Linked DNA regions of Caenorhabditis elegans. The protein of the gene in region 1 interacts with the protein of each later gene in a pairwise test. Each region holds a gene or a part of one and is shown in the gene's direction. Other genes may lie near its edges.

What was found.
Region 2: the proteins of knl-1 (region 1) and kbp-5 interact in a two-hybrid assay, tested with the Caenorhabditis elegans proteins (one study listed by BioGRID).

What each region holds. Positions count from the first base shown.
Region 1 is NC_003281.10:8,248,923-8,254,626, forward strand, and holds knl-1 (Outer kinetochore KNL1 complex subunit knl-1), read left to right. Parts: upstream 1-1,709; 5' UTR 1,710-1,713; coding exon 1,714-1,859; intron 1,860-1,906; coding exon 1,907-1,996; intron 1,997-2,048; coding exon 2,049-2,454; intron 2,455-2,499; coding exon 2,500-3,225; intron 3,226-3,269; coding exon 3,270-3,813; intron 3,814-3,857; coding exon 3,858-4,198; intron 4,199-4,241; coding exon 4,242-5,021; downstream 5,022-5,704. Other genes in the region: C02F5.10 (uncharacterized protein), read right to left, coding at 1-72, 120-214, 421-550; C02F5.2 (DUF5356 domain-containing protein), read left to right, coding at 715-769, 820-926, 970-1,060, 1,107-1,240. UniProt on the Caenorhabditis elegans protein: Acts as a component of the outer kinetochore KNL1 complex that serves as a docking point for spindle assembly checkpoint components and mediates microtubule-kinetochore interactions.
Region 2 is NC_003279.8:10,685,305-10,688,805, forward strand, and holds kbp-5 (KNL (kinetochore null) Binding Protein), read left to right. Parts: upstream 1-2,058; 5' UTR 2,059-2,065; coding exon 2,066-2,285; intron 2,286-2,345; coding exon 2,346-2,440; intron 2,441-2,525; coding exon 2,526-2,618; 3' UTR 2,619-2,755; downstream 2,756-3,501. Other genes in the region: sdha-2 (Succinate dehydrogenase [ubiquinone] flavoprotein subunit, mitochondrial), read right to left, coding at 1-167, 221-279; ndua-13 (NADH dehydrogenase [ubiquinone] 1 alpha subcomplex subunit 13), read right to left, coding at 737-862, 906-1,119, 1,165-1,243, 1,653-1,749; tag-272 (Structural protein), read left to right, coding at 3,028-3,088.

The sequences.
Region 1 (5,704 bases):
TGCTCTGAACTTTTTGATTTTTTCAATGGTTTCTTTGGAACGATAAGGACCACTGAACACGGATACCTTGTTCTGAAATTGGATGATTAGAAGGATTTACTACAAATTTGAATATTTACTGGAGCATTTTTGACGTTCAGAAGTTCAGCTGAGAACGGTTCATCACTGGCATCCCACTCTCCTTCAGTGCATTCTGGCAGCTGTTCGCCCTTATCTGGAAATTAAACTTTGTATTGTCCAGATGCGAAAACTGTAAAATAGCTTGGAGTTGGGTTACTGTAGTCCTTAAAGCCATACGCCTGTTTTCTAACTAAAAACGCTGCCTAAAAATATTTCGGTCGTGTCGAGACCGGGCACCGTACTTCTCAGCGTAAACTAACAAAATTTCGCATCTGTGTAATATTGAAATTTCATCCTTACCATCATCAGTAATTTGAATCTTCGGCAACTGTCGAATAGATTGCTGAACACTTGGTGCTGGTAGTTCCTCTTCTTTTTCGTCTTTTTTATCTTCTTTCTTTTCTTCTTTGCTTGGTTGCTGCTCTGCCATTTTTTGCCTCTTGATTTTGATTTTATCGTTTTGAAGAATAAAATTATTTCCTTTTCAAAAGATGTTTTTTCTTAATTAAAAGATTTCGAAAAAAAAATGCAATACACGTAATTTTGAGTTTTCACTTATGGAAATGTATTTTACAAATCATTTTCAAATACAAGATGGACAACAAAAAGAAGGAAGAAAATCCTAGTAAATCTGATACTTCTATAAGCCGTGAGTAATATATATAACTTTTCGGTTTTTTTTTTAATAAAAAGTTTTAGTTCCACCAAGCTCAACTGGAGAAGCGCTTCAAAATTATACAGAATCGGAATGGAACGCATCAGATGATCCGTATTCTGCAGAACTTCTCAATGTGAAAAAGAAGCCGGTAATTTTTATTTTTACGTAGATTTTCATTAAAACTTTTCCAGAATCGAGTTAATGTGTTCTCAGCAACTGAGAAGAACATGGAAACTATAATTGTCACTGAAGAATCTCCACCACAAACTCCATTGCCTTTAAGTTGAGAAATCACAAAATTCTGGGAACTTAATTTGTATTGGTTTAGAGCCTGTCGTAGAACACCACAATTTGGCTCGATTGATTCAGAAATCATGTCAATTGCTCTTGGATAAAACTACACCAGATGGAACAGAAGTGCAAATAAAATTAGAATTCCCTGACTGGAGAGATACCGCCTGATTCTCTATGTGTTGAATAAAGCTTAACGGTTAAAAAAAAATTAATTGAAATCTGCCTGAAAAAATATCTAAATACAGTACTCACAAGAGAAACTACGGATTTTGAGAATTCGAATTTCGTAGAAAATATTTTTGCAATGTGTATCAGCTGTAATGGTACATATATTTATTTATTAATATTGAATTTTATCTAATTTTTGAAACAATTGGTTTTTTAAACTATTAAAATTGTATTATACTGCCCCAAGTTAAGGAATTACTCGTAGTGTGCGTTCTACGGAACCGGTGGTGTGTCGAGTGCAGCTTCGCTCCATTGTACAAGTTCAATTTCAAACAGAGATTTGCCGCCAAGCAAAACTGCCTTCGTTTACTTTTCACTTTTTTACTTTTCCCATTTAACGAAGTTTATGCTGCCGTTGTTTTGTTATTTTTTTAATCATAATTTATTACCATTTTTAAAACATATTTACAGCCATGTCGATGGAGCCTCGTAAGAAGCGGAACTCGATTCTCAAGGTGCGGCAAGCCGTCGAAACCATCGAGGAAACCGTCATGAACAGTGGGCCTAGTTCCACAACAACTAATCGACGAGTCAGCTTTCATAACGTGAAGCATGTCAAGTCAGTTAGAGTCAGTGAATAATTTATCAATAAAATAATTATTTCAGGCAGTATGACAGGGACCATGGTAAAATTCTTGACGCCACACCAGTTAAGGAGAAGATTACTGACACTATTGGATCAGATGGTATTTTGACGTGAGTTCCATCCTTTAACGTGAAATAATGAATACGTAAAAATCTTTTTAAGACCACGTGGCGGAAACATGGATATTTCCGAATCTCCGGCCTGCACGTCCTCATTTCAAGTGTTCGGCGGTGGTAATCTCGATAAAACTATGGATATGTCTCTCGAAACAACTATCAACGAGAACAACGAAACGGCGAGATTGTTTGAAACCACAAGAGATCCAACACTATTATACGAAAAGATCGTCGAAACCACAACAAAAGTTACCGAGCGAATTGTTAGTATGCCACTGGATGATACCTTAGCAATGTTCAATACAACGAATCAAGAAGATAAGGATATGTCAGTTGATCGTTCAGTTCTTTTCACGATTCCCAAAGTTCCGAAGCATAACGCTACAATGAATAGAACTATACCGATGGACCTCGATGAATCAAAAGCAGCGGGCGGCCAGTGCGATGAAACGGTATGTTGAATTAATAGAAGGAACCAAATTATCTTAATTTTACAGATGAATGTGTTCAATTTCACAAACTTGGAAGCCGCTGAAATGGATACGAGTAAATTAGATGAAAATAATACCATGAATGCTATCCGGATTCCGATTAATTCAAACGTCATGCCTGTAGACATGGACATCACTGAACATCACACTTTAATTGAAGAAAAGAAAAATGATACATTCGGGCCAAGTCAACTGATGGACATTTCGGCGCCACAAGTTCAAGTTAATGATACTTTGGCCATTTTCAACAGTCCGAGAGACATCTGTAATAAGGGTTTGGGTGTTCCTCAGAATCTAATAAATATCGCCTCGAACGTCGTACCTGTGGACATGGACATCACTGATCAGGCCGTATTAAACGCGGAGAAGAAAAATGATCAATTCGAGACAAGTCAGCTTATGGACATTTCTATTCCGAAAGTTCTAGTAAATGACACTATGGCGATGTTCAACAGCCCGAAACACGTCAGTAAGAGCAGCATGGATCTCGAGAAAACGATTGAAGCCGCTGACAAATCAACGAAATACCCGAGTATCGCAGATGAGGTGGAAGATTTAGACATGGATATGGATATCACTGAACAACAACCATGTGAGGCTGGTAATCAGCAGAACGACGGCTTGCAACTTCAAAAGGAGGATTTAATGGACATTTCGGTGATTCGAGATTCACCTGCAGTAAACGACACCATGGCTGTGTTCCAGAGTCCTGCCAGAGTAAAGATCGGAGCGGTAAGTTTTAAGCACACTTTCCAATAAAAATGTATTTCTTTCAGAACAACTCGATCATTGATTCGCAGAAATCTATCGTGTTCGGTGACGAAATGAGCATTGACGAGACACAAAATGATGGAACCTTGACGTTGCCAAAGTCGAATGTAGAAGTGACTACAACTAATGATGTCTACACGTCTCTCGAGCGGCAAGAGGAAAATGCTTCAGAAAACGTATCCATGATAAACGAATCTTCTGTTCATTCGGAAATCGACAAAAAGTCGTTTATGCTCATCGAAGAAGAAAGGGCTTTTATGCACTCCTCCATGATTGATGTAGCACAAAAGTTGGAAGACGATGGTTCGTCGAAGACGCCAGTCATCCTTGCTTCACAGTCAGCTTCTCTTGCCACTAAAGAACCATCAGCCCTTCACAACTCGAGTGCAACTCTCAACAATTCGATGGAATTGGACAACAATACTCTTCTTAAAACTATGCAAATTACAACGTGTGAAGACATTAGCATGGTCCATGAGTCTATTGCTGTTGAACTGAACAGTAACAAAGAGCAGGAGCAATTCGGAGATGAGACTTTGCAGAAAAATGGTAAATTTCGTTTATTCAATAACTCTATTAAAAGTATGTTTTAGATACCTCGAATACTGGCGCGAATTTCACATTCCAAGGCCATAATGAAACATCGCAAATCATGAACAATGTCGACTCGGAAGCAGTGAACACGTCCAAGATTTCAACATATTCGGCTTTCAATTTGAGCATCAACCAGTCTATCTCTAAACGACGTCGATCTCTTCTGAATTCTGCTCGTGAATCTCCTCGTCGTGTTGCGTTGGAGAATTCTATAATGTCGATGAATGGGCAAACAATGGAAGCTCTGACAGAATATCGACAGAATAAAACTATGCAGACGAGTCAAGATTCGATGCCGAGTATGAGTTTGAACGATTCGGGAAGAGATATTCTCGCGATGGTAAGAATATCTCTTTGAGTATTGAATCGAAAATGTCTTTCAGAATACATCAGTCCGCTCTCCTCATCTGAATTCTTCAAAAACTGCTGCCCCAGGAACACCATCATTGATGTCACAAAATGTACAACTTCCACCTCCATCTCCTCAATTCGAAATGCCAGACTTCGATCCAGCTGTGGTCAACGTTGTATATTTAACATCTGAAGATCCGTCCACTGAACAACATCCAGAAGCTCTCAAATTTCAGCGTATTGTTGAAAACGAGAAAATGAAAGTACAACACGAGATTGATTCTCTGAATTCAACCAATCAACTTTCTGCTGAGAAAATTGATATGTTGAAGACTAAGGAGCTCTTGAAGTTTAGTCATGATGAGCGAGAAGCGATTATGATTGCAAGAAAAGACGCGGAAATCAAGTTTTTGGAGCTTCGTCTGAAATTTGCACTCGAGAAAAAAATTGAAAGTGACCAGGAAATTGCTGAACTAGAACAAGGAAATTCGAAAATGGCTGAGCAGCTAAGAGGTCTCGATAAGATGGCTGTCGTTCAAAAAGAACTAGAAAAGCTGAGAAGTCTTCCTCCATCACGCGAAGAGAGCGGGAAAATCCGAAAGGAGTGGATGGAGATGAAGCAATGGGAATTCGACCAGAAAATGAAAGCACTCCGAAATGTACGCTCAAACATGATTGCACTTCGTTCAGAGAAAAATGCTCTCGAAATGAAAGTCGCGGAAGAACACGAGAAGTTTGCCCAGAGGAACGATTTGAAGAAAAGTCGAATGCTGGTGTTCTCTAAGGCTGTTAAGAAAATTGTGAACTTCTAGTGAGTTTAATATCGAAAAATTAACAGTCAAAAATTATAATTTTAGATGCCGCCTTCACCCTTCCCTTGCATCAGGCCTACAATACTTCTGATGCTCATATAATTCTTTACCTAATGTGCCATATATTTTAGTTTTTTTTTCATCTAAAAATACCCATTGTGCATCAACCGCACTTGCTGTATTTCCTTCAAGATGTTTACCTTTTCCCCTATACATTTATGCCTCAGAGCAATCACAAAGTTATGTTTTTATTCCTAGTTCATTCTCAATCAATCTAAAGGAGACTTATGGTTTGAATAGTCAAATGAATAAATATTCCTTGTAACCAAATTTTTTTGTAGCCGTGTTTTTTTTTGTAAAATGAAGTTATTGTGCGTTTAAAAATCGGAGTTTAAAAAATCGGAGCTTCAGTCTCCTCTCTTAAAAATAATTTTAGCTTACTATTTACTACTGTAGTTCCAAATAGAATATACATAATAAGGCGGGTAGGCAAGAGTTTGACACCTCGGGAGGTACATAGGTACGTAGGTGAGCAGTAAGTATACAAATTTTTTAAAGTTTTACTTTGATTTTTTTAAGTTTTACTTTGATTTTTTTAAGTTTTACTTTGATTTTTTTAAGTTTTACTTTGATTTTTTTAAGTTTTACTTTGATTTTTTAAAGTTTTACTTCTTCTCAGTTTT
Region 2 (3,501 bases), on another chromosome or scaffold:
CGACTGTGTGCGATCTTGTGGGGAAAAGCTTCGTAATGACGGCAGTTTTCATTCCACCTTCGGAGAGTCCCATCGCAGCTCTCAAACCGGCTCCTCCTGCTCCCACAACAACCGCGTCAAAAGTGTGATCAACGACATCAAAATTGGTGGTTGCGCTCACTTGTTTTCTTTGAAAATTGATAAAATTAGTGAAATGGCGTTAGAAAATAAATTATCTCACTTCATATAAGTGCGAACAGGTGTTTTCGCACGGTTTATCGACTTTACGACATTAAGCATCTTGCTGAAAATACAGGAAAAATATAGAACGTTCAGAAAAACAAATAAAAATCCGATAACGGTTGAGGTGAAACCAAAAATGAGTTGGCCGCGCGAACGATACACCGTAGTTCACACTTTCGGTGCGAGACCCACCGCTCAATTTTTGTTCCTGCGCCTTTAAGTTTGAAACAACTACGGTACATTTTTCTCTATTTATTTACATGAAATTTCTGAAAAGAAACGTTTCATTTGAAATTTTATCGTAAATTTACATCTTCATTTCATAAAATTCCAGAAGAGAAAAACAATACACAAACACGACTTTTAAAAACCAAAGGCCTGTCGTTCATTTTCGAAAACTAACAGTCTAAAAATGAAAACAAAAAAAAAAAGAAAATGATGTTTTATTGATAGGGGCCTAGAGCAGGACACGAACTCGAAGATTAGTTTGCCAATCCATCCAGATGAATGGTATTTACCAGAACCACTTGGACATCCATTGTGGGAACCAATTATCGTAGAATTTCGGTCCAGCGTACTCAGAGTGTTGGCGCCAAAGATGATCACGGGTTTCATTTGATCCCCTTGAGTGAACGAATACCTAAAAAATATGATAAGCTCCAGAATTGTTATAAATTTTTTACCTCAGTAGCAGTTGGATCCCACCACTTGTCTCCGAGAGTAAAGTACACTGGCTCTCCGTACCAGGTTCCAGTCTTCCATCCTGGAACATCCTTCATAATTTCCTCTTCCAGAGCACGATTCTTGGCCAACAATTTGAGCCAATATCTGTCACGCTCGGCAGTCAAGAACGGCTCCATTGCGTTGTTGATGTCAACATCTTCGAACTTTTCAGTGCTGTAAACTTGATATTTTTGGAGATAAATTCACTAGTTATCTTACATGTCCTTCTTCTTTCCTTCAAGAGCAGCATAGACTCCGTAGGCAGTAGCTCCGAAAATGGCGGCGACGACGGTTCCAGCTTAAATTTGTGATTGATTTTAAGAAAGTTTTGTGTTTTGAATCAAAATTTGATAGACAGAAACTTAAAAATAGAATACTGTTTCAACAATAAATTTGATAAAAATGTATTTATTCTTCGCGTTATATTATTTATAGAAAATAGTGTGAAATATCAAAAATTACAGCAAAATAGCAAACTGATCCCAAAATATTATGCTAAAAACGTTCTCTGTCATTTATATTTTATTGCTCAAGACAAACAGCTTTATTTTTATAAATAGCGTCTAAGCCTTTTTATTCTTTAAAGTTTCTTGAGAATCGTTTTTCAAAATATTTATTCTGTATTTCACAGCATTCTTCTCAATTTTTTCGGCGTTTTGCGTTGTTTCATTTCGAGTAATATTTTAAAGCAAAAAAAAACAACTCACGACTCCAGACAAGCTTCGGAAAAGTGCGATGGAAGTTGAATGCACGATAGCCTCCTTTTGGAGGCATATCCTGCCGAAACTCTGCTCCAGTGGCCATTTTACCTGAAAATAATGAATATAAATTCGATAAAAAACCGAATAAATTATAAAAATCGATAATTTCGTTGAGGAAAAAAAAACTTGCAAACAGAATAGAAATTGATAAGTCGGGCAAAATGTGCGGCACGGGAATGTGGGCGTGGTCTTCGTCGCAACACTGCGGCGCACTTTCACAGCGATTTATTATTTTGGCGCGTTTATCTTTTTTTTTTGAAGACGTATTTTGCATTTATCGCTTGTTTTCTTCTTGAAATTGCTTTTTTAATATAAAAATCTGCTTTCAAACAAAATTCAAACTTATTTTCAGTACTAAAATGAATCCAAATCATAATGAAGGCCTCCTCGAGCTGTACACACAAGCAATCTCACTCGAAGCTCTCAAAGACGCTGAGCAATTCCTCGAGAATAGTTTGCTAGGAAAAGATGCACAAGTCGAACGTCTACTCGCTCAAGTTCTCATCGAAGAGCAGCAAATCGAGACGAATCGCAAAAAGATAGCACAATTGAGAATCGAGAAAGAAGAACTGGAATTCGGTGGGTTTTCGGAACTTTTCTGGTTTTATAATAATAATTAATTAATTAATTTAAATTCAGATTGTGCAAATAGTGACCTGAAGTCGTTGGAGCAGATGCAAGCCGAGCGAGATGAGCTCCAGAGGAAGTGCCAACCGGGGCAGCACACTAAATCGGTGAGATAGGGGAGATTTTGAAGCTGAGAAATGCTTTTTGTTATCTGAAAACATTCAGCGTTTCTATTATTATTTTTAATTCTAGAATCACAAATCATCTGAACAACTTTTGAGAATGAAAAAAGAAACCGACGCTCTACGTGCCTACATGAAGAAGATAAGTCAATTCGAAGACTGAAGCCATCAAATGAATCTCTATCAATTATCCCTCAATTTAAATTAATTTCCATTCAAATCGATCTGTTCTCATATTTCCTCATGATGTGATTCTCTAATCTTTTGTACATCTACAAGTTATTTTGTTTTATAAAGCCACATCTCACTTATGCATAGTTTTTGTGTCCAAAACGGAAGTGTTATTGGGAAGAAAAAGTACAACATAAGGGAAGAGTGAAGAAAATCGAGAGACGCAGATATGACTTTTTATTTGCGAACACGAAAAGCAAAGTGACCAGCAGCATTGGACACTTTTCGAGCAAACTTTTCGTCCGAGGAGGAGCTCATTGAGCTTAAGTCTCAGAGCACTGACCATTACTTCGGTCACTCTACTGTTTTGAGAAGCGTTGAGCTCTTTCAATCGTGTAAAAATGTTACCAAAAACTGGATCATTCGATGGGATTCCTAAAAATTTCAGAGCAAGTTTGAGAAGTGAGTATTTATGGTCTCGAAATTTTTTTTAAATCTTGAATTCTTATTTTTGTTTTTCTTTCTCTAGTTACTCCCAGGATTAAACCAGTAAATTAAAAAAATGCACTTAAAAATTCGATAACTTCCTAGAGTAACTTCCTACTGTAAATTTAAAGGCGCATACACAAAATATTTTTCATAACGCGCGGCAAGACCAATCCACTAAATTCGTCCTCCCTTGAAGTTTTTCTGCCAAATTTCTCATTTTTCAGAATAAATTCCTGAAAACTTTTGAATTCAAAATTTTCGTGCTTAAAAATAAGATGTACGAGACAATGTAAACACCAAATATTATTGCACATGACCCCCGCTAATCTGTATTGAAGTAAACATTTTTTGGCTGAAGTTTTTTTGTGGAAAATTTTTCACAGAAA